Linked DNA regions of Diceros bicornis minor. The protein of the gene in region 4 purifies or fractionates together with the protein of the main gene of each other region. This does not show direct contact. Links are inferred from orthologs where the notes say so. Each region holds a gene or a part of one and is shown on either strand. Other genes may lie near its edges. The genes, in order: SNRNP200, CTR9, HNRNPM and FUS.

Region 1 (6,884 bases), on a different chromosome or scaffold from region 4:
TCATGTTAATAAAAAATGCCACCAAGAGTCACACCATTGAAGAACGAGCCTTCTGTTTTAAAAAAGACTAGGTAGGTGGTCTTAGGAAGCAGAAGGACACAGCTTCCACAACAGTCGGCCACATTTCTCCAGGTGGTAGAGACACTCCGCAGTCTTCTTCTAGTCTGTCAACTTTTGGCAATTCTTTGTCCTCACCTCCTCTAGCATCCCCCTCACCAGAGCCTCTCAGAGATTCATAAAGGTCCTTAATCTAATTACACATGTATAATGGTTAAGAGCACAGATTCTGGGTACAGACTACCTGGGCTCACATCCCAGCTCTGCCAAATACTACGTCTGTGACTTGGGAAAATTACTTAACTATTCTTTGCCTCACATTTTTCTTCTGTAAAACAGAAAATGAATATTAATAGCACCTAGTCACAGAGCTGATGTGAAGACTGAAAGAGAGGAGACACACAAAGCTCTACCCCACATAAAGTTAAGTGCTCAGTAAACAGCCACTTCTGCAAATGGGTATGGCTCACACAGGAAAATCCACAGACAAGGCTCTTCCGGTGCCTCCCAGTTGTGACTCTCTCCCTCTCCAAAAACGTGGTTTCACCCTCTGGCTGTCTCACCTGGTCCCCGAGGGCAGCCTGGATGAAACTGAGCAGCACCTCATAGGTCTCTCGGGTCTCTTTAGTCTTGGGCTTATAGATGATGCCCACCATCTCATCAATGCCCTCCGAGAGCAGAGTATAACCCTTCATCTTGTTGATGTCATGACGGTCCTCATCACGCTTTCTTCGCCTAATGGACACATAGTGTGATGTTGAACAGACAGAACCTTCTGTCCCAAAGGTAAGACGAAATCAAGCCCATTCTCCTCTTCTTCTCAGCTTCATGGCACACAGGTAGCATTTAAAAACATGAATCTGTACCTCAGCAAATAACTCCCTTTGGCCTTAGTCACTAGCAGGAGTATTTTTTAATGGAAACACAGTAACAGAAAGGGAATCCTCTGTCATTCTCTCACTAGATGCACTATACATTACAATGAGACATCTTCCTCATTCATTTAAAAAAGACAACCCTTACCAATGTTACCTCAATAAAAAAAATAAATAACAAACAAAATAAAAATAAAAAAGACAACCCTTACCAATGTTACCTCAATAAAAAAAAAATAAGTAGGGCCAGCCCCGTGGCTTGGTGGTTAAGTGCGTGCGCTCCGCTGCTGGCGACCCGGGTTCGGATCCCAGGCGCACACCGACACACCGCTTCTCCGGCCATGCTGAGGCCGCGTCCCACATACAGCAACTAGAAGGCTGTGCAGCTATGACATACAACTATCTACTGGGGCTTTGGGGTAAAAAATAAATAAATAAAAATTAAAAATAAATAAATAAACAAAATAAAAATAAAAAAGACAACTCTTTTTACTTCATATGACAATATTATACAATCGGATTTTGATTAGTTTTTCACTCTTGACACATTTTCTAGCCAGAGAAACTGAAGCTCCAAAGGAATCTACTACCATTGATTCCCAACAAATTATAACAAAACTGGAAAAGAAGTCATACTCTGCAAAGTGGACAACAAATGATGTATTAACTCATTTCAAACATAACTACTTTAATCAAAATTGTGCCTACAAATTTTTGAGACTTCATCATGGGAAAGGAGGAAGACACAGAGATGATCAGAATCAAAAGATAATGGTGAGATAAAGTTCAAAAATTAAGTTTTGAAATAAATCTCCCAAAAAGTTAAAAAAAGCAAACAAAAAAACCCACCTGTCATTCACGCTATGGATGCTTTAATGTCAGTTTAATAACAAAAGTAGAAAGTGGATAACAGGAGAGGAAAGAAGTAGGGGTGGGAAATTAGTAATTGAAGAAAAAAAGAGTTACTGAGACAAAGGAACAGCAAGGGTCTTGAAAATATCGGGAAGAAAATTAAGATGTCTCTGTGGACCAGAAACACATGTTAGAAAAAGGTCTAAAAGTTGTTTTCCACTTTAGGTACGCTTGATAAAGCCAAAGAACCTTTTAAATCTCATGTTCTGTTTGTACCTTTACTCAGTTGTTTTAATGCCACTGATGTCTCCTCTTGCACCAAGCAAAACACTGCTCAAATGCTCAAGGGAAGATGGACTTTGGATCTGAAGAAGAGTCATTTTCCCCTTGGTACTCACTTGGCTCTTCTTTCCTCCTGCATCTGTGGTTTGGTCCGTTGAGCCTTATCTCCCATCCGGGTGCCCTCCAGCTTCCCCACCAGGGACAGCACCTCTCCTGTGGGTTCATCCCGGCGGGTCCGGTCAATGAGAGAGCGGTCAGCTTGGAGGACAAGATTCGAGTTCTGAAAAGATCACAAGATTATCGAAGCTCTGACATAAGCAGGGACAATTCACACATCACAAGGATGCCAGCTGATGATAACAAAAGAAGCAAGAATCGGAGCCACTAAGTGCTGATAATCACTAGCCGGAATAAAAAGATGTCTTCCTTAAGAAGAAATAGCATCGTATAATCGCGCATGAGCAAAGGGCAGTCAAATCAGCTGAACGATCCTCGCTGCTAACACTGCCCATAACAACCCATAGCTGGGAAAAGCGGCGAGCATGTTGGGGGTGACGTGTGGAAGTGGGCGGGTATAAGGCTGAGGGGACAGGGAACAAACACTGCTAGCAGAGCTCTTAGCCCATCCCGCCCGCCCCAGACCCCGGCGGGGTTACTCATACACCCCCACCTCGTGTACCCCCGCTTCGGCCCGATCTGATTTCCCCTCCGCTTTGGCGGTTCTCCTGTAGGCCTTCAGACTGAGACTCCCTCAGCCTCCCGCTGCCCGCTGGGCTCCCTAACCGGAGTCCTCCCCGAGCCCACACGCACCGCCTTGTACTCGTACTGCAGGCTACGGGCGGTCACATCCGCCATGGCGGCGGCTGCTCCGGGGTCTCAGAGCTCCACTCTCCCCGCCGCACGCTACAAACCGCTCCGGCTCTACGCTCCTGCCGGGCCGGACGGACGCAGCACACACGCACCGGAAGGAGGGAAAAAACGGGCTCCCTTCCGCTTCCGGGTCGCGCGCCGGAAGTGTGGGCGGGGCGTGTCTCAGCGAGCGCGCGACAGTTCCCCGCGGCCTTCTGAGCGGGGTCGGCGGGGCTGTCGCACCAAGGTCCCTGAATCCTGGGGCAGCCGACCGCGCACCCCCACCCCCCCGCATCGTGTCAGTGTGTTTCTGGCCACGCTGGGCACTTTGGCCCCCGGGAGCATAGTCACATCGTAACTGTCAATGCAAAATAGCCAATAACCTTATTATGTATAGGAGAAGTAAGGGGAGTTTTACTTGAGCCAGCGTGAGGATGATAACCCCAGGAGGCCTTTTCTACAAAGGAAGAAAGCGTCCTGGACAAGCATGGTTTTCAGTACGTTTTGAGACAAAGAACATACATTAAACAACCCCAAGGGTACATATTTATCAAAGTTTCAAAGAAGTCAGTTGCAAAGTAGCGGGTGGACAGGACCCTGATGTCAGGAAAGGGACTAACACCTGTAACACCTGCGTTACCAGGGCCTGGGAGGGGAAGTACGCATTGTTATCGTGAGAGTGCGTTCTTTAAAGCTTAAAGCAGATGTACAAAGTGTGTGTGATAGGCCACAAGTCAGGCTTCTTTGGTTCCAGCCAAATCAGTTTTGAACCCAAAGTTAACCCCATATACCTCGATATGTGAAAATCTCTTGTCACAATGAACCATAGGCCTACTTAGCCCCCTATTCTATCCCGAGCGCTTTTCTACCCACTTCTTCCTCTGACTCTACTAACGGTGAGCTACGCAGGCAAGGAGGGGCTGATTAGCCCCATTTCTGGATGAGGAAAGCAAAGCACCAGCAAGTGCTTTAACTGTGTGTGTGTGTGTGAGAGAGAGAGAGAGAGAGCAAGAATGACTGGTATCTTCCTGTGGGTTTCTCATATATTTAACAATTTAAAGAAAACTCTGTCCCCTACCTGTCCCACCTAAAGCGCATGCTTTCAAGACCCTTGTTTTGGGACGGCCGGGGCCCCCTATTTGCTCCCAAGGTCTTGCCACATTCACGGCCCCCTCCATGGCCCCAGGAACTTTGGTGAAGGTAGCCACCCTTCTGGCAGGCCCAACTTCTTGAAGACAGTGACTTAATTGATAGTGACTTAATTTCTTCCCCAGCGACAGAGCCCTGGGGCCAGGAGGCACCCCTGCCCTCCCACTCCAATCAACCTTTTTTTTTTTTTGTGAAGAAGATTGGCTCTGAGCTAACATCTGTGCCAATCTTCCTCCATTTTGTATGTGGGACGCTGCCACAGCACAACTTGATGAGCAGTGCATAGGTCCACGCCCAGGATCTGAACCGGTGAACCCCAAGCCACCGAAGCAGAGTGCCAGCAAACTGAACCATTAGGCCACCGGGCCAACCCCAGTCAACCACTTTTCGCCTGTGGAATGGCAACTAAAAGCTGAATGGTTACCTTATTAATAGCCTGTTTGCTTTTGAAAGTTGAATGAAAGGGAGGTTGGTTATTAAGCCAAAGAATTCATCCTCAATAGCAGTCTCCTGGGCCAAATTTGACCTGCAGGGGTGTTTTTTATTTATTTATTTTTGTTCCAGCTTGGCTCCTTATTTAAAAATGGGATGGTTCACTCAACATCTAGATTTCCAGCATCTATGGAGAAATCAGAACACTGGCCACATGAGAACCTCATTACTACCTGGCGTACTTGCTCCGTGCTAATCAGAAACTGCCACTCTTAGAGGATACACATGCCCCTGCCACTGCTCCTATTTTCTGATACCAGGCCCCTTCACTCCTTGGTGTTACCTGCCTGGCCCCTGTAGGCGTGGCGTTTGCAGCCCTGACTGTGTTGTTGTATATCTAACTGGGCCTTCAAGGGGCAGTCAAGTCCTTGTGGCAGCTCTGCTCCTCAGTGACTGTGTGACTTTGAGGTAGCTCATTGGTCTCTCTGGCTGAGCGTCATTCTGTCATCCTTAAAATTGAGGCAATAAGATTTTCCTCATAGGACTGTTGTGATTAAATGTGGTGGTGTGTTTAAAAGCACCAATGAAGTGTCTAATTCAAGGTGGGGCTCACTGAAGCTTATTTAAATCTGAACCCTCAAGACTGACTTTCATTCCGTGGCCATGCTGTGGTTCACCCACCAGACACAAAAGGGATTTCTGCTCTGCAGTTCTGTAGGAGTGGTACTCGTGTTCACAGTCAAGCCTGGGCCGTGGGCAAATCTGTGAAGCAGGGAAAAAAGGAAAATTCCCTGGGCGGCCCGGTGGCGTAGTGTTTAAGTGCGTGTGCTCTGCTGCGGCGGCCCGGGGTTTGGATCCTGGGCGCGCATCGATGCACCGCTTGTCAAGCCATTCTGTGGCGGCATCCCATATAAAGTGGAGGAAGATGGGCACGGATGTTAGCCCAGGGCCAGTCTTCCTCAGCAAAAAAAAAAAAAAAATCATTGAACTGTACATTTTAAATGGAAGAATTGTATGGTACGTAAATTATATCTCAGTAAAGTTATTAAAAAAATTTTTAAACAGAATTATCCCCAGGAAGGGGAAGGACCTGGGAGCACCCTGACAGGCACAGATCCCTGGGGGAACTTTAGTTACCTACCAAGTTGGGCTCAGCTTTAGCTTTGTTCCGGTCTACGTGTGCCCCCTTGCGCTGCCTCTCTCCAAAAGATGACCTTCAGAATTCAGTCCTCCCTAGCCCCAGACCTGGACCCAGGGTTACTCAGGCTCCTGGACCCTGAATTTCTGTACCTTAACACCTGTCACTTCATTTAGTTACCTCTCAAATATTTATATGTGCACTAAACTCAGTGAGCAATTTTAGAGAGTCAGAGAGAAACAAGACCCAATTAGAACCCCTGAGAAGTTACAGTCTTGCAGGAGAAATGAAACATACAAATAACTGCTATTAAAAAGCAGAATGCTGTCAGTGCCACAAGGGGGCACTGTGGAGATCAGAGAAGTCACTGCTGACTCAGGAGACCAGGTGAGGCTTTGCAGGTGTAATGTAAAGGCTGGCTAGGATTTCAGTAGAGGCAGAGGGTGGGGGAGATTTCAGGGGGATACAGAAAAAGCAAAAGCATGAAGGTGGGAAGACAGAAGCATGTCCCAGGAACTGTTAAGAGCTCAGTTCAGCTGAGTGCAGGGCAAATGGTAGGAATGGAACAACGTGATATAATTTGGATAGATATGTTTAGAATCTCTTGAAAAAATAATGCCATTGTAAAGAGTTTTTACTTTATCCTAGGAGACAATAAGAAGCCACAGCAGGTGTCTGGTTTGGAGGGTTTTGCTTGTTTGTTGCAGCTTTACAGCAGGTATTTGATTAGAGGGACCAACATTTAGATTAAGCAAAAACTGACTGTTTATCATGTGGCAAGCATTTGCAAGCTACCACCTTAGCATACATTATTTTATTTAATCCTCATAAAGCCCTATTGTTACCAAGCAACGGGATTGCTCTGCTAGCTGCAGTCTGAGCCAATTAATCACAACAAGTTAGAGATGGAGAAAGGAAGTCAAATTAGATTAGATTAGCCGGCAAATTGGAAGACGGGTGACTAATGTCTCAAAAACCCATCTTCAAGGATTACAGAATCTTGAGGCATTACGTAGGGAAAATGGGCAGTGAGGAGGGGGCAGGGAAGATAACTGACTTGCCTGGCCTCACCAGCCTCAAAGCCAGGCCATCCCATTCCAGACCCTGTACAGGGGCTTCCTCACAGAGGTGGGCTTCAGGAAGGTGATTTTCACAGTGCTGTGTAAGATGGAAGGGGGTGGGGAACAGAACCAGACACAGGGAGTGTGGCTGGGAGGCTATTGCAGGAGGTGGAGCTAGAGGTTAGGTGT
Region 2 (7,683 bases), on a different chromosome or scaffold from region 4:
CGTACCAGTTCATTATAGGTGAATTTTATCTAATAAAGTTGTTAAAAATAATTATAATCACTTACAAATGTTTCTAGCTTACTTCTTACCCAGATAATAATTAATTTCAAACTAAATCAGAGCTCAAGAGAGAGAAAGCAATAATGAGAGGTATAAATAATTCTGAACAGAAAACTTGGGTTCTAGATGTATCAAAAATTATCTATGACTTTGGGCCTGTGGAATAACTTCCCTGGACATCAGTTTCATTTATTAACAATCAAAGAAATATCTATCATTTATTAACCACCTACTATGGGCCACATACTATGCCAGGAACTTCATATACATTATCTCTAATCTGTACAACCACCCTTGAAGTGAATACTAACACCCCTCTATTTAGATGAGGAAACAGGCTCAGAAGGCAGATCATTTGTCTAAGGTCACACAGCTAGCAGCCAAGTTGGAATTTGAGAAAAGGCCTCTTGAATTGCAAAGTCTACACTCTTTCCTCTGTAACAATCTATAGCCCTCATGTTTCATCAATTTATTTTACCACAGGTGCCATGCTAATCCTCCAATACTCCAATTTTCATATAAGTGCTACCAAAGGAGGCACTTGTACTAAAAAAAAATCTAAGTTCTCTTCTGGTTTGAAAAAAATGTGTGACAAGCATGAATGGCTTGTTCCCCATAGATTAGGAAAACTTAGCACTTCAAGTCAGGAAGGCACTGCTTGTCACTGACAGTACTTTTCTGCAAATCCACATCTAAGAAACTCTTCGAGTTGGGCTTGAGCACTGGATACTAGCCCAATTTCAGGCCTACTTCTCTGACCCTTCAAGACAATACTAGGAGCCTCCTATGTATCCTTCCATGGAAGTGACCTGTGGTACACTTGCTTAGGAATAATGATTATAGTACCATATACTACTGCAAGCATTTACTATAATGTTCCCATAAAAAGGAAACATCATTACACAGCTGGTGCTGGGGATGGTGGAGGGTGTTAGAATTTTAGGCTCTCTGAGGTGCTTTTCCTGGGAATCTCTAGTAGTGTTTATGTTACGGAAGGGACCAAACAGGACAAAAAAAACTTAATCTCGCGATAAACTTCATCCAGAAGCACTTCTGTGGGTTATCGTGGAACCTAATCACCTTCTAGAGTATTTTACGGGAAATGTTTTATTGTCATAGGAAACAATGTCAAGTGGCAATGTTTACATCGTGGCACCTTGTTTTTTCTCAGCTTATCTATAAACCATAAGCCAGTCCTCACTGAGTAGTCACTAAATAATCAAATACTCAATATAGTATTTAACTTAAATGAATTTTGCCTTTACCAACATCTACTAATTTACCAGTGGAGTAGCACATCATTTAGGAAACTGGCCTTTTCATTCCATAAACAGTGATACAATTAACTTCCATACACATGGTACAATTAATTTACTTATCATGCACCCCAGGTGGCCAGTAGCGTATCTGAAAACAGAAACCACATATTTTTCCCAGTCAACATATAAAAACATTTGTTATATGGACACTGACCGCCAAAGCAATCCATATGTGCAGCTGTGTATGTTCCTGTTTCAGAATACTGATAACTTCATCTCCCTCCGGTAACTGATCGAAGTCAAGTTCAATGACCTAAAACACAAAATGTAGGTTTTAACTTAGTTCTTTTTTAAATTCACATTTCTTCTTTGCTGCTTTTCTTGACTATACATCACTACAGATACGTGCAGGGTTTGTATTCACTTTCAACCCGGCTGAGCAAGAATATGTTAAGAAACGTTTAAGGAGCAAACGACAAATAGGTTATGTGGCATTACTAAAATAAAAGCACACAGAAGCAAACAAATCCTGCTAGTTGTCCTCGAATCACTAGAACTATAAAACACTGCAAAAGCTCTGCTTACTCAAACACAACATAACAAAACCCTGCTTAACATATAATGCAGGTAAAGTGCAGATAAGCACCCCAGAGACTCGGAGGCTAGGTCTGACAACTTGAGAAGCACCATCCTAGCAGCAATGCAAAGTTGAATGGCACTGCATACATGAATCATGGAGGCAGCATTTGTGTATCACAGACACTCCTAAATGTGGGCACAAAGATAATAGTAAGAAAATGTTCTGGAATTAGACAGTGGTGATGGTTACACAACTTTGTGAATATTACTAAAGACCACTGGATTTTACGGCAAGTGAATTATATCTCAATATTATATCTCAATCAAACAAAAATAAGAGTATGAGACATCCAGCAGCAATACATCAATGTTCAGAGCTTTACTCGGACAAGCCTCAGGCCACCATGAACGAGGTGGCGGGCAGGGAGAGGGGGGCTCATTTTATCAGCACACAGCAGCGGCCAGATCTTGGGGTCTCTATGCCGCTGATGGGGCCTTGTGTGGCAGACCCTGTGCATGACAGACTCGAGTTTTTAAGGGAGAAAGGGCGACATCCTATATATTCCCAGGGAAAGACAGAGCAGCAGAGAGCCCACGGTGACATCAGCGCCCACCTCTGCGACCTGCGAGGTGCTTTACAGTTATCCAGCACTCTCACACCCCTGCGCCCGCGAATCAGGAAAGCGCAGACTACTGTCAGATACGAACAGGCTGGAGGAGAACTTTCAAGAACTCCTTCTCGAGGTGCCCCGAGGCTGCGGGGAGGCGGTGCTCCCAGCCGGGGAGGGCACAGGGGCTGGGGAAGGAGGCGATCAGAGCTTCGGCCGGAGATTTCGATCCGGACTCCGCGGGCAGAGGGTGCGCCCGCTTCGGAGACGAAGTCGAGAGAAAGGGGAGGAGGAGATCGTCCAAGTTCACGGCCCCTGCCCTCCCCCATACTCGACACTCACCTCGTCAGTGTCCCGGAGGGGAATCTCGATGGAGCCCCGCGACATGATGAGACCAGAGGACGAGCGGGTGTCTCGCCCCGCCGCTCCGCAGCCGGTCCTCCTGGCTTCTGGCTCCTCCAGACGCTGCCAGCCGCTCGGGCTCCGGTGGCGACTGCGGCCCCGCGGCGCCGCCGGAGCTCCGGCTTCTCCTTTCCGTCAGCCGCTTAAACAACGAGCAGCCTTCGCCGTCCGGCCACTTCCGGCAGCCCCGCCCCCTGCCCCGGAAGTACTCCCCGCTGGGGGCCTGCGGGCTCCGGCTCGGCTCTGGTGTTTCTCTGTCTTGGGGATGACGGCTCCGAGGCTTTCGTTGGCGTGTCTACCGCTCCGTGGGCCTGCGGCTTCTGGATCTGAGCCCGGCACCGGCGCGGTCCGGAATAAATGCGCCGAAGGCGGGCCGCCCCGCTCTGAGGGGGACGGGGCGACGAATGAGGCGCGGGTTCGGGGCTGGCCACGGACTGACGTGGGGCCTCTGGCCAATTCCGGCAGTCCTCTCCTCCGAGCCCGACTCCGCCCCCGAGCCCGGACCTGGCCTCTCGGGGTGGGCTGGCCAATCTGGTCTTCTTGTCAAGATTGCTGCGGATAATCCAATCGTTCTTCAACCCAATCATTGGTTCCTGTTTAGCAGCTGTTGTGTGCGAATCATACCTGTGCTACTTTTGTGATCCGTTTAAATAAACGTTACTATGAATTCTGTAATCATTGTGATAGGTCATGTATTTTGTGTGGTTTTATTTTTTTCTTTGAAGCATGTGAGAATCTGCTAGATTTGTGATTTTAACAAAATTGTTGAAGAATTTGATTAAACCTGTAATCAATGTTTTGGTTAAATTATAGAATTTGATTAAATACGTTTTAATTACTGTTTTCATTAAATTACAGAATACAATTAAATTAGTTTGCAATCAATGTTTTGATTGAATCAGAGGAGGATCTGATTAAATAAATTTGTAAACAGTGTCAGTTTTACCTCTAAGTGTCTCTCAGATGTATTCCTTCTCTTCATCTCCACCACCTCCATTCTATCCCAAGCCAACATCGTTCTTTCCTGCCTGGATTACTGCAACAGCCTCCTGTTTTACTCAATACATCATCCACTCTGGCCCCAAACTCCAACTTGGCTTCAACATGTTACACACTCACCTTTAAAAAGTACCAATTTGATGTTGCCTTTCCTCCCACCTTCTTCAAAACCCTATAAGTGGAAACTTAGTTGTGTAACTATTTCAACGTTGGGCGCTTTGCCGTCCAATACAAACATAATGCTAGTTGCCTAATTTAAAATTTTGTAGTAGCTGCATTAAAAAAGTAAAAAGTAGATGAAATTAATTTTAGTATTATATTTTGTTTAACCCAATATATCCAAAGTATTTCAACATGTAATCAATATGAAAATTGAGAGAATTTACATTTTTTTCATACTTTGTCTTGGAAATCTAGTATGTACTTTCTGCTTACATACTTAATTCAGTTGCTTAATTTTAATTGGACATACTCTAGGATCTCTATTTAGATTTCAGAAAACTTACAGTTGAAAAAATAGATTCACATACTTGGATTTTTCCAAACACACGTAAAAGTTTTCCAATAACTGAACTATTGGTCTTAAATTTTAAATTAATTTAAATAAAATTTAAAATTCAATTCCTCAGTTGCATTAGCCATATTTCAAGTGCTCAATAACCTCAAGTATTTAGTGGATACTGTATTGGACAGCACAGCACTGTATTTCCAGGAAATACTCTTTAATACGTTTTAAGGTTTATAAGTGAGCATTAAACAAAAGTACACATCATGCTAAGTGTTACTCTCATGCCCAGAGCCTCCCTGGCCTTAAAGACCCTAGCGATACATGTGAATTAGTCGTTCAGTTACCGGCAGCCAAAGGCATCCTAACTGTTAATGCAGAACACTGTGATTGAATAATAGGAGGACCCAATTTAGACTGGGATTTGGAGGAAATGACACTTAAGTTGAAACTTGGAAGATGAGTAAAATTTGGCTAGATAAAGGCTATAGGGAGTGTCTACCAGACTGAGGGGATAGCACACTGAGGAAAAGCTTTGTGAACCTGAAAGAAGGCCGTGTGGCTGGAACGTAAAAAATGAGGAGGAGAATAGCATGAGTTGAGGCTGAAGACATAAGTAGTCAAATCATGCCCAGATTTATCCATGTAAAGCAAAACTGGCACCTTACCCTGCTTCCAAAATGAGTAAGTGTACACATCGCATTCCACAGTTAAAGGAAAAACAAAACACTTCACGCACTGAGGTAAACCAAAAAAGAACAGTGTCACATCAGCTATAGTCTCCAAAGTGAATGAAACCTTCAGCATTTCCCACATTACTGACTCCCTAACAAAAACAATTTAATCGCTGACTTTTATGAGTTTGAAGATATGCAATAATTTGGGGGAATATGGCAATCATAGAAGAAAATTTCTCTTTTTCCATCATGAACCAACTAACTATAAACCTTATAACTTCGAGTTGTGTGTTTGATGAACTAGTTCTTTTAAAGCCTAAATTCACTTATAAACTTTTGCAAGGTTTTTTTTTTTTGAGGAGGAGGCTTGGCCCTGAGCTAATATCTGTTGCCAATCTTCCTCTTTTTCTTTTTTCTCCCTAAAGCGCCAGTACATAGTTGTATATCCTTGTTGTAGATTCTTCTAGTTCTTCTATGTGGGATGCTGCCTCAGCATGGCTTGATGAGAGGTTAGTAGGTCCACGCCCAGGATCTGAACAGGCAAACCTCAGGCTGCCGAAGCGGAACGAGTGAACTTAACCACTAGGCCACCGGGCCAGCCCCTGCAAGTGTTTTTCTAAGGAAACTATTTTTCTAAATGCTTTTGTCTCTGAGACTTCTTTTGACACAGGATGTGTTGAGGAGTTTGGATTTTATCTTAGGTGCAATGAAACTGAGAAGTTTGAGCTGACGTGTATGTATCAATGAGTATGTGTATGTGAGAGAGAGAGAGAATTGGTTTTGTGGTTTTAAAAGATTGTTCTGGCTACATTGTGGAGAATAGATTGGGCAGTGTTTGAGAGGATGTGGGCAGACCACTTAGGAAACTACTGGAGAGATATACAGAATATCTATATAGATATAGAGTATATAGAATATATAGGGATATGTAGAATATGTCTCCACCTCCACTACCTTAAATATATATATATATAATCTTAATCACTAGGGCTCGCTAATGCATTAAATATGGGCAGCATTGAAAAAGTAGTGTCTAGAAGAACTTCCAGGTTTTGCGTGAACAACTGTGTGAATGAAGTGTCATTTTCCAAGATAGGAATGACTAGTGGAGAAGAACATTCGGGCAAGGGTAGGTCGTGAGCTGGGTTTTCAGATGTGTTGTTTGCCCTGTCTCTGGTATCTCTGAGACAGATATCAGACAGGCAGTCAGACATACAGATCTGGAGCTCGGAAGACAGTTTCTGAGCTGGAGAAATAAGTCTGAGAGCCGCCGGCATATAGATGAAATTTAAAACTGTGGGATCAGATGAGAGACTCTAGAGAGAGCATAGAGTGACAAGAGAAGGGCCAGGACCAAGTTCTGAGGAATTCTAGCACACAGCAGGCAGGCAGGGAAGAGAGTCTGCAAGGAATCAGAGGACGGGTCGGAGAGAAAATCACCTGGCAACAATTGGGACTTAAAGTGCAACTCTCGACACAGGCAGTTTTTTGTTTTCCCCTGACTCCAGTAGATACTGATTAAATCAGACATTTTTAAGCTGTAGATCCAGTTTTGCAGCACAAAGATTTTATTTCAGCTGGCACGAGTGTGCAATGTCTGTTCACAAAATGCCCTGCTCCATGTTGGGTCGGAGTGCACCAGATCAACGTAAAGCAGTGAGTGTGTATTTGGTCAGTGTGGATTTTTTTTTTTTTAAGATTTATTTTTATTTATTTATTTTCACCCCAAAGCCCCCAGTAGATAGTTGTATGTCATAGCTGCACATCCTTCTAGTTGCTGTATGTGGGACGCGGCCTCAGCATGGCCGGAGAAGCGGTGCGTCTGTGTGCGCCCGGGATCCGAACCGGGGCTGCCAGCAGCGGAGCGCGCACACTTAACCACTAAGCCACGGGGCAGGCCCCTGGTCAGTGTGGATTTTAAGTGTGTATTCAAAATAGATAGCCAAGATTCTTTACTTTTCTGTTGTTGATATTGTGGTCAGTCATAGAGTTGATAAATACATACATTTAGCTCACTGAAGAATGAACTATTTTATATGTTGATAAAATATGCTAATTATTAAAATTGAATAAAGAATATTTAATTTTAACAAAGAATATTTGAGATGTTAAATTAGATATCTTTTATCAGGAGCAAAGGGAAGTGTTTTAAGTAGTTTGTATACATTATTAAGAAAAAGTAGGAAGCTGTATCAATAAGCCAGGGCAACCATAACAAAGTACCACAGACTGGGTGGCTTAAACAACAGAAATTTATTTTCTCGCAAGTCTGGAGGCTCGAAGTCTGAGATCAAGGTGTTAGCAGAGTTGGTTTCTTCCGAGACCTCTTTCCTCAGCTTGCAGACGGCCCTCTTCTCCCTATGTCTTCACGTGGTCTTCCCTCAGTGTGTGTCTGTGTTCTAATTTCCTCTTGTGAGGATACCAGTCATATTGGATTAGGACCCACCCTAATGACCTCATTTTAACTTAATCACCTCTTTTAAGATTCTATCCCTAAATACAGTCACATTCTGTGGTACTGGTGGTTAGGACTACAATATATGAATTTTGAGAGGACACAATTCAGCCCTTCACAGCACCTGTCAATAAGTCTT
Region 3 (7,526 bases), on a different chromosome or scaffold from region 4:
AACTAATGAACCTACATGGACACGTCATCATCACCCAGAGTCCACAGTTGACATGAGGGGTCATTCTTGGTGCTGTACATTCTATGGGTTTGGACAAGTGTGTAATGACATGTGTCCACCATTATAGTATCATACAGAGCGGTTTCACTGTACTAAAAATCTTTGGCTCTCTGCCTATTTATCCCTCCCTCCCCCAGCCCCTGGCAGCCACCAATTTTTTTACTGTCTCCATAGTTCTGCCTTTTCCAGAATGTCACAGGGTTGGAATCATCCATTACGTAGCCTTTTCAGAGCAGCTTCTTTCACTTAGTGATATGCATTTAAGCTTCCTCCATGCCTTTTCATGGCTTGAGAGCTCATTTCTCCTTAGCACTGACTAATATTCCACTGTCTGGGTGTCCCTCAGTTTATTTATCCATTCGCCGACTGAAGGACATCTTGGTGGCTTCCACGTATTGGCAATGATGTGACCCATTGACAATGAGCCCCTTCTGAGGGGCTGCGTTGCTTCACTCCCGCCCTCTGAGAGACAGAAAGGGGGTCCCTTGCTCCCTGCTGTAGACCCCCTCACCTTTGCAGGGCCCCGAGTGCTGGTGGGAGCTGCCCCAGGACAGTGATGGGTGCGTGTGCACAGTCTGTATGAGAAGGGCCTGGACGTTGGCTCTGCTTCTGGAAGCATCCAGGGGCCCAGTTTTCCTCTCTTGGGGGTGGAGGTCGGCCGGCTGGCCTTCGCACCCACCCCTGTGCTGCTGCCCCGCAGGTCTCCTTCCGCTACCATTGCCAACTGTACTCCGAGTGGAGAAGGACCAACCAGAAAGTGCGCCTGAAGATCCAGGATGTGGATGGCCCCGAGGGCCCCCAGCCCTCCCTGCTGGCAGCCGGACTCCTGAAGAAGGTGGCAGAGGAGACGCCTGTGTGAAGGCCAGGCTGGCAGGGCCAGCGGCAGCTGGCGATGCCCTGGCGTTTGGAGGGACGGAAACTGCCCGACTCTTCCTGCACGGCCAGAACGCTTTTTAGGCCAAGAGACACCGAGCAGAGCCGATTCTGTGATCCCGTGTGAAGATACTTTCAGACTGTTTTGCACACGGTTGTACCCGAGGAGGTGGACGTGGTCCTGAGCTTCGGACGGATCAGGCACCCTGATCTCATTCTGAGGTCCACTCGGCCCCTCCGGGGCCAGCAGCTGTGGCCATGGGCGAGCCGAGGGTGTCCATCGGGCCGGAAGGTTCCACAAGCTTCTTGCGCTTCTCCACACCTGGCAGGCTCGCTTTCCCGGCACCCTTGACTTCATCAAGTTGCACCGTGTTTCAAAAACCCACCCCGAATGAATAAAAGGAGCCCTTGCTGGACAAAACGGACTTGTCAGTTACGTTTCTGAACCAAGGCCTCAAGTGAGGGACCTGGGACCCCAGGGCAGCCGGGGACCACAAACAGGTGAAAAAAACAACAACAGAGGCCCTCTGCTGGTTTTGAGGGATCTGTTATGAAACACACCGGAAGAAGCAAAGTCTGAGTTTTCAAGTGAAAAGCAGGTAGCAGGGTTATATAATAAATGGTTTAAAATCGCTATGCATAAGGAGAACAGTTTCCACTTACTTTGCATCTCCAGATGCCACGCTGGTGTACTTACTAATCACTAACGTCCACACTTCTCGAGGGTTCCTCAGTTCTGAGCCTGCACAGGCATCCTCTCTCTGCCTTTTAGACCATCCTTGAGGGGAGGAATGGCTGCTGCCTCCATTTTACGGATGAGAAGACTGGGGCCCAGAGCAAGGAAGCCTCTGTCTAAGGTTGCACAGCTCTAGGAAGGAGAGTTGGGGTTGACCTTGGGTCTTCGTGGGCCTAGTGCTGAGCTCTAAGCTTGCCTTCCAGGAGGACTCAGGAAAAGCAGCAGAATATGGTTGTGCTAATAACCACATGTACTTCTTGAGCACTTTCTGAGCTTTTCACGTGGAAGGGTTCTCTGCATTGGGCCGCATTTCATACTCAGAGCAGCCCTGAAAGGTGGGTTCTGGACTTCTCTTATTAATCCCATTTGCACATAAGCAAACTGAGGCTCAGAGCAGTGGGGTCGCTCACCCAAGATCACACCTCCCTGACGGACCTAGCACAGTGTCTGGAATGTTCTATTGTTTTCAGCATGAAGCCCTGTCTGGTATGTGGTTCACCCACGGAGTAAAAAAACCCTTTCCACCCCAGCGTAGAAGGGCCAGAGGCAGCCAGCCTGGCCACGGGAATGGAGGGAACAGTAAAGGGCACAGGCCTGGAGGCTGGAACTTGTGTGGCCTGTAGGAGGAGCAGTGTGGCAGACGTGATTGCTGGAGCAGCGAGACTGAGGGGCAGGAGAGAGGCAGTTAGAAAGACGAGCAGGGCTTTGTAGGCATCTGGGGTCTGCAGAAACCCAGGACCTTATCCAAGCGCAATCGCTCTGCTGGCGCTCAGGGGCCCTTCTGGCATCTGCATCTTCTCTCTCTACACAGGCCCAGCACCCACCTCTCTCAGGCCAATTTTGGATTGTGGTGCCCCTGGAGGTGATGCAAAGAGGCCCCAGGACATGCCATTGTGAAAAGAGCTGTTTCCTTTGCAAATCTCTTCTAATACTTTCAATTACATCAAGGAGAAAGTTGTAGGTTGGGCTAGACTGTCTTAAATGACCCTTAACCTAAGGGAGGAGAGAACAAGCCTCAGGCTCAGAGCCTTTGGCAGCATGCACAACTGAATTCACACTTGAATAGCATCATCTTCTTATTTATTTTTTACAGTTAGCTGTTTATAGCAAGTTTTCATATACTCAATTTACATATATTTGCATATATTTACATGCAATGTAAAACACAATATTAAAACATGCGTCTTTAAAGGATAAGAAGGTGTGTCAGTTAAAGGAAAATGTGAAGTGTGAAGGAAATAACAGTTCAAGAGATAGCAGAACCCAGGATCTGGGCACTGTTGGTTTAAGTCAACCAGCCTGTAGGAGCCTAGCCTGGAAGAGTTGGTCTCCACAACCAGGGCCTGATTGTCCCTGACCTCCTGTCACACCCACCGAGGGAGGAGGGATCAGAGAGAGAGGTGGCTTCTTGTCCCTAACGCTTTGCATTGGGACTCCTCCCTGATTCTGACAGACTGCCGTGGCCTCTTCCGCCACTTCTGAGCCCTGCTGGGCGAGGGAATTCAGAAGTTCATGAGGCTCCTTCTGCCTCAGGGCCCCTCCAGTCTAGGAGAGGTCTAACGGGGAGGAAGGTAAACTGAGACAGATTCCATTGGGGCCATGGGAGAAGATTTTAATAGGTATGCAAGGGCGATTTTAACAGAGATTTCAGGAGGGGGCATGGGAGGAGGGAGGGGCTTGACGATGGGCGAGAGAAGGGAATTCTGGGAGGCAGGTGAGTTTGGGAAGAGCTGGAAATGTGGGAACGGAGCTGGAAAGAGGGTGGGGCACAGCCTTCATGTCAGGCTGGACTACGGGATGGATTTATTCTCTGGGCCTGGAGTTCTCAACCCTGGGTCAGAATCACCAGGCAGAATGAAGCAGCTGGGAGAGTGTGGTGAATATTCCCCCAGAGCCTGATGAAATGTAGTCATTCTTTGAGGGGTGGGGGGGGGGTACCTCTTTCCCTTTGTAAGCCTAGAGCGAGTTTGGTGGTTAGATGGGAACTTCTGCAAGATTCGGTGAAGCATTTCAAAGTTCCAGAGACATCAGAGAGAGGGGCTGCTGCTGGGGAAGGGAGCCTGAGGCCTCAGAACGCGCCCCTGGGCTCTGGCCTCTTTCCAGGCCACGTGGCTGCCCCAGGACACAGCCTGTAACAGTCCTTAAAACCAGTCTGGGGACAGAGCCAAGCCCTTAGGCAAAGGGACCCAGCCAGGATCAGGCAGGAAGGAGGCCCAGTTAAGTTTTAATGGGATCAGTTGGCCTGTAGCTCGTTTCTTCCATCGTGTTTGGATCTTGCTGCTTCATTCACTCAAGAAACATCCGTGAGCGCATACCAAGACCCCAGCGATGCGTTTTGCTTGTTGGTTGATGGGTTCAGAGGCCATGGGATCTGCACCCAGGAGGTCCCGGGGTGGTGGGGAGCCAGGTCGGACAGAGCCCAGATATTCCTGGTGCAGGATACTTGCTTAGAGAGACAGAATTTTGCACACCAGTTCCACTGCCTGGCCCGTCCGCGTCCTGCCCTCCTGCCTGGCTAACTCCTTTATATTCTTAGTAAACAGAACTTTCTGCCCCTCTGCCGCAGCTCTGATTACCGAAAACTGGGAGTGACGAGGTCCGGGTGTGGGGTCAGTAGATCCTTCCCGTGCCAAACCTCAAGAACCGGTGGAGTATTCAGAAGGCGCCCAACACGAGTTTGTTGCGGGGATGAATGGATAACAGCGGCCGGTCTGCGCCTGCGCGCGACGGGGGCGTGGCCCGGGGCGGGCGGGGACCAGGCGGGAGCAGGCCGCGGCGCGCGCAGGCGTTACTGGTCGCGCCGGGTCACGTGAGTGCGCAGGCGCAGTGCTGCGCAGCCGGCTCCCTCACACAAAGCCCAGACGCGGAGAAAATGGCGGCAGGGGTCGAAGCGGCGGCCGAGGTGGCGGCGACAGAGCCCAAAATGGAGGAGGAGAGCGGCGCGCCCGGCGTGCCGAGCGGCAACGGGGCTCCGGGCCCGAAGGGGTGAGTATCCCACGGCTCCGCGTCCCGGGCCGGCCGCCTTCGCGGCGGCGCCGTTAGGTCTGTTGGAGGCCTCCCCCCGGCGCGGCCTCAGCCCGGGCCTTTCCCGCGGGGCCTGCCCGGGGTGGGGGCGGCCGGGGCCGCCGAGGGGCCCGGGGGCGCCGCAAGGCTCGCTCCCTCCGTCCTCCTCGGCCCTGGCCCAGCTCCGCGGGTCCCTCCAGGCCGGGTCCGAGCCCCACGCCGAGGCCTCGGGCCCGGCCTCTGCGCTCGGGGCTGATGGCACGGGCCCCGGAGCCGGAGAGGCCCGACGCCCCGGGCCGCTGGCCTGTCGGGTGACCTTGGGCGCGTGGTTTCACCCCCCGCCCCCCGTATCGCCCGGGGCCTCAGTTTCCCGCCCCGTAAACTGGGGGGAAGGGAAGGGAAGCGAGGGCGCGCGCGGGGCCTCGCGCGTGCTCGGCCCGGTAAACGGCGGCGGAGGCGGGTGGGAGCCGGGCAGGACCGCGAGGCCGGCCGGAGCGCCCCCGCGTCCCCTCCCCTCCCCCGCCCCGCCCGGCCCGGCCGGAACCGCTCCACGCCGGGGCCGCGCGCGAGGCCCCCGCCGGCTCCCCAGGTGCGCGGGAGGTGTCTGTGCAGGGATCGGACCTGCGCTCCCCCAAACAAAGAGGAGGAGAAAAAAAGCAGAGAAACAGCATTTTCCGTGTTCCCGGGGGAGATTTTCCATCCTCAGGCGGGCTCGCCCACTTCCAGGCTCCGTCACCATTTCGAGCCTTGCTTGGGCCTCCGTCTCTGCTCCTTGGCTGTTCAAGTGTCCTCAAAGCTTTAGAGCATCGTCTTGTGTCCGCACTCGTTCTGATGACAGTCACCTGGAAGGAAGATGCGGAGGGACGTTTGGGCTCCCACCGGCACCCGTGGGGGGAGGAGAGGGGGAGGCTGGGCACACGTGATTTCCCACTAATTTTTTTTTTTTAATTGTGGTAACGTATGTGGAACATAACATTTACAGTTTTAAAACCATTTTTAAGGGTACGGTTCAGCGGCATTAAGTGCGTTCAGTGTTGTGCGACCATCACCCCTGTCCATGTCCAGAACTTTTTCATCATCTCAGACTGCAGCCATTAAACAGTAACTTCCGATTTCCCCCTGTCACCAGCTCCTGGATACTTCTGTTATTCGTTATGTCTCTTATGAATATGCTTTCCCACAAATTTCTAATGTGCATCCCTAGAGTTTGTGGGGATTAGAAGTGAATGTAGTTAAAGCGCTTTATGTTACCGAGCTTTCGCTAGGTGACTAGCTGTGTTGTTGTCAAACCTTCTCTCCTTAGGTGGGGAGGAACAAAATACCATGATTCCTGGTCCTCGGAAATCAAAAGAATGGCATCCCAGAAGTATTCCCAGCACTTGACTCTCGAAAACTCTGGAAAAGGATGCCTTCGTTTAGACTTTTTTCATCATCTGTCTAGGGGAGCCTAGGAGGATTTCTGAGGGCCGTTTTTGGATGCCTTTAAGTTACATTTATTTCCTGTATTTTTTCTTTCAAAGCAGTTATCACAGGATGGAGTGCTGCTAAAACGTGCTAGGTGAGAAGTTGAATTAGCTATAGTTTGTAGCATCTGGGGTATGTTTTTCAAATTTCCCATTTTCCACTGTCCATTTTCAAATAGTCATTTTGTGACGGGTTTATTTGACAAATGTGACACGTGGACCGTTAGAAAGAACCTGAAGGTTTTAGAGATAAAATAGCTCTTGTTGGAAAGAACCTTAGAGTCTAGGGCTGCTTAACAGAAGTTCTTTCAGGAAGCTAGCAACACTTAGATGTATTTCATAGGGTCGGTGGAAACTTTGTGTATTTTTTTTTTTTTTGCATTAGGAAGCTCTTGAGAATCAAGCCCATGCCCAGAGGAGAGGCCAGCTGATAATTTTGTAGTGAGGTAATTATGCTGTGATAGAAGTAAAGGAGTTACCTGGTAGGGAGCAGCTCCCCTCCCCACAACTGAACCCCCTGGGGGCAGGGTGGGGAAGAGGGGGTTTCTTCAGGAGGAGGGGGATGAAAGAGGATGATTGTGGAGAGGGGAGAAGAGAGCTGCCCACGACTAGGGACTTTGGTATATGCTTTGCATATTTATAGAGAACTGATGCTGCTGTAGCACTTAACGCTGGAACAGTGAGGGCCAACGCTGAAACAGTGGGGGCCGGGGGCCGGCTGGTGGGCAGTGGATTCCAGGCTGAGGAATTTAGATTTTTATCTTGAAAGCCTCTGAGGGATGGAAAGTGAGTGAAACTTGGTTCTTCTGACCTTTGTCTCCACCAGGAGTGGAGTGTGCTGTAAGCTGAAAAGGCAGTGAGCCTGCAGGCTTGATGGAGGACCCCAGAGAGGAAGCTTGTTTTGCAGTGACTTTTCTCCGGGGTGTGAGAGGAGGATTTGTTTTATTTTGATGAGAAATCTGTTCCATTTAAAGTCAGTCAAGATTCAGAGTTAGAGTATATTTAGTCAGGGAGAAAAAGCATTCATTCTGGGGAATATATAGTTTCAGGTTTGATTTTTTTTTTTTTTTAAAGGTTGAACCATATACTTAAAATCAGTGATGTAACCTACTTCCAAACTAATCTTGTGGCTGAATCAGAAAACAGAGATGGATTAGTTAGTTTAAAAATAAAAATTTATATTTAGTGTAGGTTGCCGGGGAGGTAATGTTAGTGTTAACTCTGTTTTATAACTGAGAAATTTTTTTTTTAAACAATTGAGAAAAGTCAGGTTAAGGAAATTGACCCAGAGTCTGGGGGAGGCTGTGTTGACTCCACTGCCACCCTGGTAACCTCTCACTAAACAGTCACTTGAAGTGTTTTATTTAAATCAGAATCTCTGTGCTTTGCAA
Region 4 (7,686 bases):
TTGGTACGTCCCATTGTCTGTACCCAAGAAAGACCACCCCCCTCCCCATTACTCCTCATGATTGCTCCTATTGCTGGTCACATTATCATTCCTTATCAATTCACCCTTAATCTTTCAGGCCTCTCCCCACAACTCCTTACCTTCCCGAGGTGCTGCTAGGAGCCGGTTGCTGGCCATAGCCAGGGTAGGAGGACTGCTGCCCGTAAGACGACTGAGAACTCTGGCTACTACCATAGCCACCAGCTGAGCCATATCCTTGGGGAGCTGACTGAGTTCCATAGCCTGCTATAAGGAAAAGAGAAAGGAAACCACAAAAGCTATGTAGAAAGAGAAAAGGCAGGGAATGGGTTGAAGAAAATATTATTTACTATCTAATGCTACCCATACTTGAAAAGTTCGCCTCTCAGAAGCTGCTTAGAATCTTGCAATTCATAAAGTTACCCTTCTCTTCTACCTAAGGCTAATGTTCCAACTTCTATCAACTTTGGACTTCCGATCTCACCATACCCACCCCAAAGCGAGTCTCCAGGACCACGCACGACTAATCACAGCCCAAAAGATCCCTACTCATTAACAGCATTTTAACCTGCTCAGATGTGTGCAGTACACATAGAACCCACATTATTTACACTGCAAGACCTCAGGGCAAATTCCACCTCCTTGTGTATCACATGATATTTGGTAGTGTGACTTCAAACATCTTCAAGCAAATCATTTTCTCCCTGTAAGCACCAAAAATCTAAAACTTTCTCCCCTTAGGGAATACTCTCCCCCACGTTTCACTTTCACGCTAAAGGGAAATGGGGAAAAGGGCAGCATTAAAAGAAAAATAAGGACTCAAGAAAATAAAGAGAATTACAAACCAGTATGCATTTTTGTTTGAAAGGACTCAGACTCCAAAGAGTTTTAAGAGTTACAGACCAGTTAAGGGAAAAGAAACACAGGACAGTTCCAACATTTCAGCATTGCTCAGGTTTAAGAAAAGCAACATTCAGGAGGAGAAGGAAGGGGGGGGGTGACCCACTAAAAGAGACTCACTGTTCTGGGTCTGTCCATAAGAAGAACCATAGCTGCTCTGGCCATAGCCTGAAGTGTCTGCTGACTGACCGTAACCACTGTAACTCTGCTGTCCATAGGGCTGACTGCTCTGCTGGGAGTAGCCTTGCCCAGGCTGGGTGGGGTAGGCCCCATAGCTGAAGAAACAGAAACAGTGTAATTAGGAAAAGATACCCTAGCCACCCTTGACCTCTACAAACCCCGAAAGCCCAGAAATGACTCTCACCTTTGGGTTGCTTGTTGGGTATAATCTGCAAAAAGAAAAATACAATTATTTTTTTCAAAAAAAGAAAGCAACAATAATACAATTACATTACCTTCAGCCATCCCTGAAAAAACAATAGGGCAAAATTCCTCAATTTAAGCCCTGGGGCCTCCAGGTAAGAAATCAACCAACAAGACCATGTTGCAAGAAGGGCAGAAATTCTCTCCTGAAACACTAGTTGAGAGGAGGGGCAAGCTGGCAGATCAGAGTCAAGTTTTCGTACTTGACTCTGAAAAAGAGTCAAAGAAAAAGCAAATTTCTGCAGACACCAAGAGGCCTTAACTACTACTGGAAAAAAACAAGAATCTTGGTGGACATCTACAATTTTCTGCAAACTCAACTGATGTCAGGAATGGCACAAATTCACACACATTTCAGTTTCACACCCACTCTATGAAGAAAGTATCACCAAGAATCAAGCTAAAGTCCCAGAGCTACTTAAGTGGGACAGGTTTTAACTCAAGCTGGAGGCAGCAGTGTTCGAAATGTGGCCTCCACTCTCGCAATCGAGACCCAAAGAACAGAATGTCTCAAACTTCTTCACCCTCTGCCTAATCTTGAAAAGCGGCAAAGTGGGCTTTCAGTGCAAAGCCAGGTAACCAAGAGAAAAGAGCCCTCGGACCACAAATGACAAATCATCAAAGTGCTCGCCCCAGGAGGCAGCAGTTAACTGGTCCTCGAGTCCTCAGCCCTGCGGCTCCAATCCCCTCTCCTCATCTACCCTGCCTTCCTCGGAGCTGTGAGGAGACAGCAAACCAAATGCAGCGGGAGTGCTTTTAAAACGCCACACTGAGGACGCACTAACCAGATCAACGCATCCCCTGAGTACAGGAAACCAGGCGCTTCCCCCGCAGGAAAGGGCCAGAGGACCGGGAGAGGGTGTGGCCTCGGGCAGCCGTTCTTTCGGTTCCCACCTCAGAAAGAGGAAATTTAGGCGGGAAAATCCTCGGGCCGAGTCCCCAACCCCGTTAGACGCCCCCACAGCCGTTAAGCGGGCGCGCGGCCCCGATCCCGAGCCTCCGCCCGCGGCCGCGTGGCAACCGAGGCGGGAACCCGGCGGTCCCGCCCCTTCCCGAGGGACCCCGGCGGGCGAGGCCCACACCGGACGCGCAGCGCAGAGTCGCCAGCGGAGGGTCTCGCGACAAAAAGCAGCGCCAACACGAGGCGGGAGGGAGTTCGGGCCGCGAGAAAGGGGGGAGGGGCCAGCAGAGCGCGTGCGCGCACCGAGTGCCCGGATGCAGCACTGCGACAAAGCGGGCCCGAACGCCGGGCTAGGACCGAAGGGAAAAAACGGCTACGGGGACGGAGCATTTCCGTCCGTGTCTCACGTATCAAATCACCCAGAAGCGTCCCTCTCGACCCTCACCTCCAGTAAAGGCACTGCGAAGGCAAGACCTCCTGCCCCGCGCAAGGCGCCGGAGGAGCGAAACAAAATGGCGACATCAGCCTCCCCTTTCCACCCCTCTCTGTTGCTTCCCGCCACCGTGGTGCGAGAAGACCCTACACGCGATCACTGCCCGGGTCCCACCGAAAAACAAAAGCCCAGCTGGGAGAGAACGAGGCCCCGGGCCGGCGCGCCACCGCCGCCTCGTGCCTTTACATACCGTTTGAGGCCATGTCCGCGCACGCGCGCACAGGCCAACAAGCAACAAGATTCCAACACCACGGAGCACCGACGCCTCGAGGACTGACCAGCCCCGCCTCCTGCGTCGAGGTTTATGTACGCCTCCCGCCTACGTACCGCGGAGGAATGCACCAAGTGCGGCTAGGAAAAGGGGGAAGCATGGCTGGAGTCCTACCACTCTTCAGGGAGTATACAGGGTCTGAGCAGGCAGAAGGGAAACATATTAACTGAGAATCATGAAAATAATATATAAAATCATGTTTTCTCTGATAAAGAACTGGGATTCACTCTGCAGGACTAGCCTGCTATTCACCTCTACCCCTATAAAGGCATAATGGTACGGTCTCATTACCCTCTGGGGGCGGGGCGAGGGGCCCAGGGCGTCTGCGGACCCAACTGTAGTCAAAGCTGGGAGGCGCCAGGCGGGAACCGAAATTCCTCTGGCTGGACCCTTTCACTGGGCCCCACTTTCACTCCGGATGGCGAGATCCTGCGCTCCGTTGCCCTCGCAGTACACAGGACGTGTCGTCCTTCCGGCCGCCAAGCTCCCTTTCTGGCTCTAAAGTTCCTCCCCCGACAACACACACCGACCCTCTCTCTCTCTCTCTCTCCCTGGGCCTTGGTTTTCACTTCATAGTCTTTCAGGGTCTCATTTCCTTAGTCCATACCAGGGTTTGTAAATCGTGACGTCTGACCTGAAAGAAAGCATGGAGTTTAGCCCAGATCCCTGGATCCTCGTCTGGCCCAGCACTGATCGCCCTCCCAAACCCTCGTGACTTTGACCCTGACTGGCGATGGAAGGGGAAAGCCCAGGCCCTCTGGACCTCAGAGAGCGTTGAGATTAGGTTAGGGGTCTCCTAGCCTTTTACAGATAAGGAGCTACTTTTTATTGTTCTAAAGCACTACCAAGGAACCAATATGGAGATCCAGTAATAACTATTTGCATATGGCTTAAGTGGTTTCAAAATGCATAATTAATTGCTTTCCCATCACAATCTTTTAAGGAAAGGAAATGTATCTCTTTTATAGATAAGAGAAGTGAGACTCAGAGAGGCCAAGTGCAACCCATGATTATAGAGCAGCTGAGGGTCAGATCTGATTCGAATCCAGGTCTGTGTGGCTGCAAAACACTCCTTTTGTTGGTTATATGAACACCTGGCAGTGTTCTGAAGCCTGTTCACTCCCTGTGAGAGCGAGGACAAAAAGTGGAGTTCAAATTAACTTGCAACTTGCAGTCTAATCAGCCTTGCCTGGAGAAGGCAATTTGAGAGTATTGAATAAAACAAGACAAAGGAGGTTATTCCTGGTACACATGCCATGCAGATTTTCTTTCCCAACTTAACTTTGACCTCGGTTCCAGTAGTTCCTTTGTAGGTTTGACATGTTTTCCTAGAGAAACAATTAAGGTCTAGGCCCTAGGCCTGCCCACAAACTTCTACTAAACCCCTGATGGCCCTTGAATACCCTGTCACTCGCCCCACCCTCATTGGGAGGGCAGTGTGACTGTGGAGTGAGGGCAAAGGGAAGTCCATCATTCCTTCATTCATTCATTCTACAAATATTTATTAAGCACCTGTAGTGTACCAGGCACTGTTCTGGGCACTGAGGATGCATTAGTGTGCAAAACAGACATCTGAAGGAACTTAATAACAAAGCTAACTTTTTGTGTGTGTGTGTGAGGAAGATTACCCCTGAGCTAACATCCGATGCCAATCCTCCTCTTTTTGTGCTGAGGAAGACTGGCCCTGGGCCAACATTCGTGCCCATCTTCGTCTACTTTATATGGGACGCCGCCACAGCATGGTTTGACAAGCAGTGCGTCGGTGCATGCCCGGAATCCGAACCTGGGAACCCCGGGCCGCCAAAGCAGATCACGTGCACTTAACCACTGCGCCACCGGGCCGGCCCCCAAAACTAACACTTAATAATGATATTTATATGTTATATATAACACATTTATAATAGCTTAACACTTTGATAAGGCTTACTAAGTATAAAGCAGTGTTCTGAGTCTTTGATCATAACTTACAATAGGCACAGAAAGATCATAAGCTATCCCCAGGGCTACACAGAAAGCAGCAAAGCCAGAGTCCCAACCCAGGCAGCCTGGCTCAGAGTTCCTGCTCTTGACCCCTGTGCTTCAGCAAACATTGCTTGAGCACTGCATAGTGTGTGCCAAGCATGGGGCAGACGTAGAGAGAGGAGGATAAAAAAGATCCAGTCCCTGAACCGCAGGACCTTATAGCCAGTGGATGAGATGTGAGTGAGACACACGGACCCCAAAGTATGTTTGAATCAAATGTGGTGAGTGCTGTGACATGGAATCAAGGAATCTGGGAACTCTGTGAGGAGAGCAAGTCATCCATTAAGTAGACAACCACAGAAGAGGAAGGAGAGATGGTGACACTGAAGCAGCCCTTGCAGGATAAGTAATAGTTCACCAAGTGGTGAGAGAGGGAAGGTGTAACAGGTGGAAGGAATGGCAAAGACAAAGGCAGGGGTAGGGAAAGGCACTCATGGGCAGAGTGCAGGGAGTGACAGGTTTATACTGTGACCTCATCAAGTGACCGTTTCTCCAGGCTTATCTCTCTCAGTGGACCTCTCCTGAGTCACATCACACAGGGACCTCTCACTTCACCTTAAAAGTCTCCTTACTTGACATCCCTGCTCCCAGCCCTCGCACCTTTCCCACTGTCCCTCTGTCTCCTTCCCCTGCAGTGTCCTCCTCTGCTCACCCTACAGACAGCAGGGCCCTCCAGAGTTCTGTCTTCAGCCTTCTTCGCTTCTCCCTCAAGACCCAAAGCCCCAACTATGACCTGGTGTAAGATGCAGCCTGCAGACAGGTTTTGTGTAGCCAGCACGTTGTTTTTAATTAACTAGTTGCCAATACTAAATATAGGGGAAAAATCCAAACTTCTGGCTTTTCTTGAAAATTAGAGGCTCTGGCCACCCTGGGCCTACTTTTCCAGAGGGCAGGGGTCAGCTGGAGCAGGAGGCTGCTGGGGCATGTGCTTGCAGCTTGCCACAGTCTCCCTCACTCCCTAATGTTTCTCTAGTGGGAGAGTGTCGATTGTCATTTATATCAGGAGTTGAATGCAGTTTTTCTTCGAGTTAAAAGCAAGAGAAAATATTTCTTGTCTTCAAATGTAGGAAAACAAAGCAGGCCCTGGTTTTCAGGCCTCCAGCTGGCCCTTGAAGGCATTCAGATTTGTGATCTGTTCCCAGATCATGGATCCTTAACCTCTTTTTGTATCAGAGTTTAATGATAATGTGGACCCCTTCTTAGAATAATATTTGTAAATGCATAAAACAAACTTTGTAAGAATACAAAGAAATCCAATGGAAATAGTTATCAACTATTTCTTAAAAAGATCTTTGTGATCCAGTACACAGATCTGATAGTGTAATAACTATCTTAATTTTTTTCTGTTTTCTAATAGTTTTTTTTTTCCTTTTTTCCATAGCTATCTTAATTTTGAAGTAGAGTGGAATAAAAAAATGTTTTCAGGTACCTACAACAAGTGCAATGTGGTACAATTTCTAAGATTTCTGTCAGTGACCAAGACCCAGAAACTGTTGTGATTTATTGCCTACAGTCATCATATTGAGAAAAATGCTAGATGTCAATTGGCAGTTAGTGAAAATTGCCATGTAATGTTTCCCTGTCCAAATCTGTGACCCCCTGACTGCTATCCTCAGACCCCTAGTGGGGACTCCAGGTTAAAGACTCTAGACAGTCTAATCTCATCCACATCATGCCTTCAGCTCCTGGATGCGTACACCCAGCCATGACCCTCCTGAGTTCCAGGCCTGTCTCTGGATCATCTCCAGCCCAATTTTGTCAAGCAGATGCATTACATGAGATTGGAGGCAGCAACTATTGGTGGAAAATTCACATGTTCTGGCCAGCATAGCAGCCCAAGCCTTTGGTTCTTCATGGGTAACTTTGGTGGAGGTTATAACATCCTTAGTATCATTAACATCAATGGACTGAGGCAACAGCACTGGAATTTCCATTAGAAAAGTACCAAGGGCCCGCCCCATGGCTTGGTGGTTAAGTGCGCGCGCTCCGCTACCGAACCCGGGCGCGCGCCGACGCACTGCTTGTCCGGCCATGCTGGGGCTGCATCCCACATACAGCAGCTGGAGGGATGTGCAACTGTGACATGCAGCTGTCTACTGGGGCTTCGGGGAAAAAAAGGAGGAGGATTGGCAATAGATGTTAGCTCAGAGCCAGTCTTCCTCAGCAAAAAGAGGAGGATTGGCATGGATGTTGGCTCCAGGCTGGTCTTCATCACAAAAAAACAAAGAAAGAAAGAAAGTACCAAGGTGTTGTTGGACCCTTGGCCTGGTATGTATTACTGGCTGGGAAGCATCCAAGCTTGACTCTTGACCATCTCAGAAATTTGGTAACCACCTATCATAATCCCTTTCTGCTTAAACTATCTAAAGTGGATCATTGCCATTGCAGCACTGCCTATATATCAAAACATTAGAAACTGCCTAAGTGCCCATCAAGAGAGGGTCTGGTTGACTTAATTATTATACAGCAAGGTTTCTCAATCTCAGCACTTTTGGCATTTGGGGCCAGTTAATTCCTTTTTTTTTTTTTTTTTGGTGAGGAAGATTAGCCCTGAGCTAACATCCATTGCTAATCCTCTTTTTCCTGAGGAAGATTGGCCCTGAGCTAACATCTGTGCCCATCTTCCTCTATTTTATATGTGGGACGCCTGGCACAGCA

The links.
Region 1: the proteins of FUS (region 4) and SNRNP200 purify together in Homo sapiens (affinity purification with mass spectrometry; 3 studies listed by BioGRID and IntAct, with this or other methods). This does not show direct contact. The link is inferred for Diceros bicornis minor from reciprocal best matches to the Homo sapiens genes FUS and SNRNP200.
Region 2: the proteins of FUS (region 4) and CTR9 purify together in Homo sapiens (affinity purification with mass spectrometry; 3 studies listed by BioGRID and IntAct, with this or other methods). This does not show direct contact. The link is inferred for Diceros bicornis minor from reciprocal best matches to the Homo sapiens genes FUS and CTR9.
Region 3: the proteins of FUS (region 4) and HNRNPM purify together in Homo sapiens (affinity purification with mass spectrometry; 4 studies listed by BioGRID and IntAct, with this or other methods). This does not show direct contact. The link is inferred for Diceros bicornis minor from reciprocal best matches to the Homo sapiens genes FUS and HNRNPM.

What each region holds. Positions count from the first base shown.
Region 1 is NC_080779.1:16,207,422-16,214,305, reverse strand, and holds the start of SNRNP200 (U5 small nuclear ribonucleoprotein 200 kDa helicase), read right to left. Parts: upstream 3,002-6,884; 5' UTR 2,922-3,001; coding exon 2,877-2,921; intron 2,347-2,876; coding exon 2,183-2,346; intron 793-2,182; coding exon 621-792; intron 1-620. UniProt on the Homo sapiens protein: Catalyzes the ATP-dependent unwinding of U4/U6 RNA duplices, an essential step in the assembly of a catalytically active spliceosome. Plays a role in pre-mRNA splicing as a core component of precatalytic, catalytic and postcatalytic spliceosomal complexes.
Region 2 is NC_080746.1:69,242,679-69,250,361, reverse strand, and holds the start of CTR9 (RNA polymerase-associated protein CTR9 homolog), read right to left. Parts: upstream 3,019-7,683; 5' UTR 2,894-3,018; coding exon 2,849-2,893; intron 1,633-2,848; coding exon 1,534-1,632; intron 1-1,533. UniProt on the Homo sapiens protein: Component of the PAF1 complex (PAF1C) which has multiple functions during transcription by RNA polymerase II and is implicated in regulation of development and maintenance of embryonic stem cell pluripotency.
Region 3 is NW_026691615.1:283,848-291,373, reverse strand, and holds the start of HNRNPM (heterogeneous nuclear ribonucleoprotein M), read left to right. Parts: upstream 1-4,520; 5' UTR 4,521-4,541; coding exon 4,542-4,654; intron 4,655-7,526. Other genes in the region: E3 ubiquitin-protein ligase MARCHF2, read left to right, coding at 761-919. UniProt on the Homo sapiens protein: Pre-mRNA binding protein in vivo, binds avidly to poly(G) and poly(U) RNA homopolymers in vitro. Involved in splicing.
Region 4 is NC_080765.1:20,888,113-20,895,798, forward strand, and holds the start of FUS (RNA-binding protein FUS), read right to left. Parts: upstream 3,006-7,686; 5' UTR 2,939-3,005; coding exon 2,926-2,938; intron 1,308-2,925; coding exon 1,283-1,307; intron 1,194-1,282; coding exon 1,039-1,193; intron 286-1,038; coding exon 141-285; intron 1-140. UniProt on the Homo sapiens protein: DNA/RNA-binding protein that plays a role in various cellular processes such as transcription regulation, RNA splicing, RNA transport, DNA repair and damage response. Binds to ssRNA containing the consensus sequence 5'-AGGUAA-3'.